2 linked regions of the Lytechinus pictus genome follow. The protein of the gene in region 1 purifies or fractionates together with the protein of each later gene. This does not show direct contact. Links are inferred from orthologs where the notes say so. Each region holds a gene or a part of one and is shown on either strand. Other genes may lie near its edges.

Evidence for each region.
Region 2: the proteins of dual specificity tyrosine-phosphorylation-regulated kinase 1A-like (region 1) and DDB1- and CUL4-associated factor 7 purify together in Drosophila melanogaster (affinity purification with mass spectrometry; 3 studies listed by BioGRID, with this or other methods). This does not show direct contact. The link is inferred for Lytechinus pictus from reciprocal best matches to the Drosophila melanogaster genes mnb and wap.

What each region holds. Positions count from the first base shown.
Region 1 is NC_087252.1:26,485,757-26,489,691, reverse strand, and holds the start of dual specificity tyrosine-phosphorylation-regulated kinase 1A-like, read left to right. Parts: upstream 1-1,395; 5' UTR 1,396-1,442; coding exon 1,443-1,517; intron 1,518-2,561; coding exon 2,562-2,732; intron 2,733-3,935. UniProt on the Drosophila melanogaster protein: Role in the specific control of proper proliferation of optic lobe neuronal progeny.
Region 2 is NC_087250.1:7,679,102-7,683,036, forward strand, and holds the start of DDB1- and CUL4-associated factor 7, read left to right. Parts: upstream 1-1,383; 5' UTR 1,384-1,467; coding exon 1,468-1,623; intron 1,624-2,722; coding exon 2,723-2,824; intron 2,825-3,935.

The sequences.
Region 1 (3,935 bases):
GCATTGTATGTGTCGTACTAATGGAATTTACTACCATTTACATGTAGACCCAAATTGAATTTATTTGATTTTTTTTTGCTTATTGAACCCCGAATAACAAATGCAGGTGATCTATGATACTAAAGTCTCTTCTCAACCAATCAAATTGAACCATGTCTAATGTTCATCAAACTTACAATTGATAACAAAGGTTGAGTGAAACAGGGTCCAAGGATCAATTAAAAAAAAATAGAGAAAACAAAGAATGTATGTACCTCAAACAGAAATATTGATGATTTTTTTTTCATGTTTTGAACATATGTATGTAATTGATTATTTAATTTGTACCATTAAACCTATATTGATTTAATTAATTTTAGAATGTTTTTTATTAAAGCACTGACCGGGATCCTTAAAGGATAAGTCTACCCCAACAAAAAGTTTATTTGAATAAAAAGAGAAAAATCCAACAAACAAAACACTGAAAATGTCATCAAAATCGGATGTAAAATAAAAAAGTTATGACATTTTAAAGTTTCGCTTAATTTCACAAAACAGTTATATGCACATCCTGGTCGGTATGCAAATGAGAAGACTGATGACATCATCCACTCACTATTCCTTTTGTATTTTATTATATGAAATATGAAATATTTCATTTTTCTCCTCAGTGTCAAGTGAAACAACAATAATTCCTCCCTGAACATATGGAATTAGCATTGTTTAATACTACATGGTTTAGTCAAGTGGGTCCATATTGTCAAATTTGTTAAAAATGAAATATTGTATAATTCAAACAATAAAAAACAAAAGAAATAGTGAGTGATGGACATCATCGGCTCTGTCATTTGCATGTCACTGACTTGTGCATATCACTGTTTTTTTTTAAATAAGCGAAATCTTAATGTGTCATAACTTTCTTATTTTACATCCGATTTTGATGAAATTTTCAGCGTTATGCTTGTTTAATTTTTCTCTATTTATTCAATTCAACATTTTGCTGTGGTGGACTTGACCTTTAAAGTAAAATGGAACCTTTGGAACAAGATAGCTTGTGTGAAAACAGAAAAATAAAATACAGATCAACAAAAGTTTGAGAAAAATTGAGTGAATAATAAGAAAGTTATGGTCATTTGAACTTTAGATCATTATTGTAATGTATGTCGCATTGCCAACGGAGGGATCTCCTTGCCATTAGTGATCTCAATATATTTAAATGCTAATAACTTTCTCATTATTTGTCAAATTTTTCTCAAACTTGATGAAATCTTATTCTGTGATTTTTCTCTTTCCACACAAGCCCTCTTGTTCCAAGGGTTTCATTCCCCTTCACATAAAAACATTTTATTGGGTTCATATATTTGTAAGGCTTAATGGTTGATCATCTTTTCTTTTTCTGTTTGTGTTTTCCAGGGCGCCGTAGTCTGAATGGTTGTGATGATGTATATTGTTTGACGGAGCAGATGAACGGCGAAATGTCGGTGCACTGCTCGAGCAACCAACTCAACGGACAGCCAGCTAATCATCCAGCCTCACAGGTATGTAGGGCAAGCAATGTTGTAATAATACACTCCCACCATCACAACTACTACTACTATCCAGGGTTCCCAGCCAATCAGGGAAATCGGGGAAAATTATTTTACTTTTTTCCAGTCCGCGAAAAATCAGGGAATTTGATAAACAAAATACCTCAAATGAGGGAAAAATCAGGGAATTTTGATCAGCCCAAAAGTCGAAAGCACGGTAGTCAGTCAGACTGTTATATTTTGTTGCATATCAAAACAACATCCTTTGAATTACTGGTTATGGTGGTACTAATTAGTTTTACATTATTGTTTTTTATGGCGATAATAAGTGTAATTCACTGCAACAACTTAGAAAACATGCGAAACTGGGGATGGGTTTTAATAATTATTAGGGAATTATTAAACTGCATCAGGGAAAAATCAGGGAATTTTGTTTTCTTGAAAAGCTGGGAACTCTATCATTACCACCACTACCACCACTGCTACTAGTATTACCATGATTTTCTCTGTTATCATTGCTATGATCATTGTTGTCATCATCATCATCACTGTCATCATCCTCATCAACATTATCATCCTCCTCCTCGTCAAATTCAGTATCATCACCATCCACTGAACCATCATCACTGTTAAAATCCTAATCATTGATATCACATTCCGTTTCATCTTCACTATTTAAATCTATATCTTCCAAACATGATCACCATTATTACCATCTTTTACTATTGTCCCACATACTAATTTCCATGTCTGCTCTTCGCCTGTGTTTAGGAGACCCCTATTGGCCTTCACAAAACTACCGCCATCATCATTTTTTACTGTCCCACATACTAACTTCCATGTCTGCTCTTTGCCTATGTTTGGAAGACCCCTATTGGCCTTCACAAAACTACCACCATCATCATGTTGTACAGTCCCACATACTTGTTTCCATGTTTGTTCTTTGCCTGTTTTTAGGAGACCCCTAATGGCCTTCCCATAACTACCGCCATCATCATATGATTTTGTACAGTCCCACGTACTAATTTCCATGTTCTTTGCCCGTTTTTTTTATAGGAGACCCCTATTGGCCCCAACGCGGCACATCGTGAGCCCATCCTGCAGCAGCAGGCGGAGGAGATGGCAGCGATGCAGAGTCGTATCCCTCACACGTTCAGGGACGCGACCCATGCCCCCCTTAGGAAGCTGAGCATTGACCTAATCAAGACTTATAAACACATCAATGAGGTAAGTTAGTTTGATTATGATACAAAATATATACTGCAGCTTTAAGGAAAAAGTCTTTGGGTGCTTCCATATTCCCTCATTCACAAAAATACTAGATATTATAAAAATGTGAAACCGAAGATATATTTAATACCATCATACTGAAAGAAGGCCTGCTAGCTATTAATTGCTTTTCAAAATGAGGAGAACTTTCATAGGAATCAATGCAAGGTGGCGAGTGTACTTTGTGCAATGTGAAAACAAAGAACAAGAACCCTAGATCTGAGCTACGAAGAATGTGTATCATTTCTATGAGAATGCCAGTCTTGCTGGCTTGTAATTTATCTGGTTCATTCATTCGTGAATGCACAGAATATTCAATTATCAGGTATTGTGAGGCCTCTTCTTGTAGTTTTCATTTTTTGTAATCAATTTGGTATTTTAGCAGTTGATTTTAAGTAAATTTATGTTTTTGTCCATTATCCTGCTGTGGTTTATTTAATTGCAGTTCTTTTTACAAAAACTGTGTGATTGAGGAAATTGCCTTGAAATAGTTTGTCACAAATGATGTGTGTGTCTTTGTTTACATCTTAGCCTAATAAGGTAAACAAAGACATGAGCAATTACGAATATGGGCACTGTTGCATAAAAGTTACGATAACTTTGACATCCAATGGTACATGAAATTACCATGGCAATACTGATCAACAGCCAATCAGAATCAAGGATTCCATGCAAGTTACCATTGCATGGGAATTATGCAACGGGCCCCTGATATCAAATTGGCCATCACATGGGGTGGGGGGCAATGTCAAATAATAAACACAGTGATTCAGTGTTAAATACAGGGACAATATGTATTTCTAGTTCTTTTTTAAATATAACATTTATCATTCGTTGAAGTTCATGTACGTGCATTATATAAAAAATAATTGTTTATTTACATGTATGAAAAGAATTTCCCCATGAAATTGAAAAGACAAGAAAACTTAATTATAAATAATAAAAATAAGAGTAGCAATGGGTGGGGGCATGTCACAAAATAATTCACCATCGATCTTTACCAACAACCTCTATAGGCTTAAGCTTCTGAAATCCACAGACCTGTTTGGTTGATTGAAAATAAAAGAATTCGTTAGCAGAAAAAAAATCAGAGATAAAATGCCTCAAGAAATGCCCAAGCAAGAATTGCACTGATTCACTTTTCAATTCTGAGGCAAAGGT
Region 2 (3,935 bases), on another chromosome or scaffold:
GACGTCCCACAATTGCAATATAGGGGCGGAAATGACCGTAACTTTCGGGGAGGGGGGGGGGGGGGGAGAGAATGGCGACATAAAGGTAACGGTTTTTTTTCTCAATTTAGTCATGGGATGTAACACAGTTACCACCCGTCTTCTCTGTACTATTTTTCTTCTTTCTTTATTTTCTCTCCCCCCCCTTCGGTTTTTCTTTCTTACTACCATAAAAAGTTATGATTAAACATTGATTTGGCGCTACCCTAGAGGTTAAAATAAAAATTTCAACCTCCCCATGCCGTTACTTTTCCTTTTCTTCTTTTTCTTCTCCAGTATCCCCTTTCTTTCTCTCCGATTTTCTGACGAGTCCTTCTCACCCTTTCCCCCTCTCTCTCCCTACCCCGCTCTCTTTTTTAATATAAATCGAATAGTATAGGAATTTCATATGGTTATCATAGTGCATTGTTTAGTCAATAAGATCAATAAAATAGTTTTAATATAATATATCTTTAAAAAATGTAAATGTTCTTATAGATTATATAACAACATTTACATTAAAAAAATATGTAAGGAAAGATTAGGGGAAAATATAAAAGAAGGTCTATTAAATAAAGAAATGTGGGTTTTGTAACCCTTAATCATTTCCGCTTTTTTCCCCTTGCCCTTTCCCCTTTCTTTCTTATATTTATTTTTGTGTAAAAGCTTTTCAGTCTTTTCAGACTATTTAAATCGAAATTATAGGCAATTCAAATAGTTATCATAGTGCATTGTTTACTAAGTGAATAAGATCAATAAATAGTCTTTATATAATATACCTTAGAAAATGTAAATGTTCTTATAGATTATATAACAACATTACATTAAAAAAAAATATTAGAAAGTCAAAAAGGGGCCTAAGCTTTCGATCCTAGCAGAATCTTCGTCGGAGGCAAAATGACAAACATATAAAGTTAAAAAAATATGTAAGAAAAGATTAGGGGAAAATATAAAAGAAGGTCAATCAAATAAAGAGAAGTGGGTTTTGTAACCCTTTATTTCAGTGACTTCATTTCCCCTTTTTTAATGGAGAGAGGAAAAAGGGTGATGTCCCCAACTCCCCATTTAGATTGCATTTCGTGTTTATTCTCTTCCCCGTCCCTTTCAAATGCCTTGTGCCTTATGCCCTGTGATCTTGGATGGGAGCGTTTCATATAAAAAAATCGCCAGTGATTTTCACCGGCTGATTATATATGAACCAATCAGATGCAGGGGTTTGCAGTTGCTTAACCAAAGTGAGTAAAAATCACTAAAATTTGTTTCATAAAATGTTTTCACTCACCCCTTCCCCATATCGTTGGAAATTACATGTTGCAATCAATAAATATTTTTCAACATAGATATAGATGGCGCTATACACATTGACAGATAAAAAAAAGATAGGTAAATGGCGCTAGTGTTGTGTATACATGAATTCTAGTCAAGCGAAAAACTACCGAATATTTTCTCATGAAGCCTGCCAGAATGTCGGGTGTTACGCCGAAAAGGAAGGAGATTTACAAATATGAAGCCCCATGGACATTATATAGTATGAATTGGGGAGTCAGACCGGACAAACGGTTCAGATTGGCGGTGGGAAGTTTCGTCGAAGAATACAATAATAAGGCAAGTAAAAATCTTCACGATTTCTCATAGGCTTTGTACACTGCACTGCGATGATGTGTAGCTAGTCACACAAACTATGATGAGTGTGAACGTGATGACAGTGTGTGAATTTGAATTGTGATGTGATACTGATGATATTGATAAAAATGATCCTATTGAAGCCAGGCAAATGGCAGCTGGGGTGACCATAATTTGCACACGTTAATGTCAGCCGCCAGGATGGCTGGAATTTGGAAAACTTGTAGAATCTACTTAATCATATGCTTGTACTTGTAGGCCCCCTAAATGTAAATTGTAATTGTAGTTTCAGTTTGTACAGTAGGCCTAACTGTATTCTGTAATGTAACGAGCCTCAGAGGTTGGTCACCAGGCGGTCAGTTTTGTTTTCCTTTCCCATGTCATGTTTTTATTAATGAGTAATGTTAATGAATAATGTGCAGTGCCATTTGCCAGGAATGAAGGGAGGCAGCGTATCTCAGTTGGTTAGATTAGAGCGGATGTTTCGGATAAGATCGTAGATCTCAACGTGAGGGGTCGACTTCGAGTCCCGCTCATGCCGAAACACGTCTAACAAATAATCTGATGCTATAGCGTTGTGTGTTAGTGTGCCTCACCACTGTATTCATTGCAGGTGTGAATGCAGTTGGAAAACACTCAAACAAATGTTGGTCCCGTGTATATAGGAGAGTCACAACCTATGCCCGTTAAAACCAATACACTATTCATCAAAGAGTAGGGTGTTCACCTGGGGTATTGCACCTGCCAGTCGCGGTAAAATTCAAGTCAAGTCAAACTAGACGTTCATATGCCATAATATTATCAACATAATGATTGTGGGCATTAATGGAAAGACAAGACAAGAAAAATAGGTAAAACAATGAAAATTAGGGTCGGTCTGAACAATTTTTGTAGTTTATTTTCAGAACATTTTTTCTTTATTATTTCATGTTGGATTGCTAAAATTTGATAGGGAACTTTGACTCATTCATTAGAAGACACCGACACTGTCTTAGCATGCTATTACTACCTTGATAACCTAGATCTTAATGGGATTAAAAAGATAATTGTTTAAAATTATGTCTTTATTCTCTCCTTACAGGTTCAAATCGTAGCTCTAAATGAAGAGACTTCGGAATTCGAAGCGAAGAGTACGTTTGATCATCCCTACCCGACGACTAAAATCATGTGGATACCTGATAATGTAAGCAATATTCCCTCTCAAATCAGTAGTATCTGTGTTTAAAGTTCTGTCTTTATAGTATCAGGGACTCGGTTTTAAGGGGAGTGAGAGCGATAGCTCGCTACTGCTCGCCTTAATCCATTTTAGATAGAGGTGGAGTGATTTATCGCTCGCCTCAGTGAATTAGATTTTCTTATGACATGAAATGATAAATGCAGAAAAACTAGAAATCAGGCGATATCATACACATTGACATTTGTATTAATTGCTTGTTTATTTCCATGTATAATCTCTATTCTGACATCATTTAACCTGAACGATAGAACAAGAGTGTCGGTCAATGATCCCCTACCGCGGCTCCTCTTAAAACTTTTAGGAGAGCTTTTTATTGCTCCCCTCATAATTATAAAACTGAGTCCCCGTAGTATACATACCTGTAGCGCTTAAAGGGGCACTCCAGGTTGAATATATTATGATTTGAACAGATAAAATCAGACAAACAACACTAAAAATTTGATCAAAATCGGACAAGGAATAACAAAGTTATGGCATTTTAAAGACTTGCATTATTACTGTGAAACATTATTAGAAACTCTGCATTTCTTCATGAATATTCATTGAGCAAACTGATGATGTCATATTCCCTCTTGTTCTTTTGTATTTACATGTACATGTACATGTATATGAAATTAGGTTTATTCAAATTTTTCCCTCTAAGAACTAAACAAAATTGGATTACTGATTTATTAGATATGCTGCAACTTATTTCATTAGAAGGGAGACATATCAGTTGAGAAACAAAACATAAGTAAAAGGAAAGTGGGGATGTGACATCAGCCCACCTAATGAATATTCATGACTACATGCATCTAACTCTTTTCACAATATATTGCTAAACTTTAAAATTCAATAACTTAGGTATTAGTTATCCGATTTTGATGAGATTTTCAGCATTTTGCTCTGTGAATTTTACTCTATTTATTTAGATACAAATAATTCCAGCCCAGAGTACCCTTTAAGTAAGGCTGAACGTCTCTAAACATCCTGACCTTAAGGATTATTACATGTACATGTATTTCACCATAGTTATGATCAGATTGTCACATGCCCACACACAATGCACTTTCTCCAC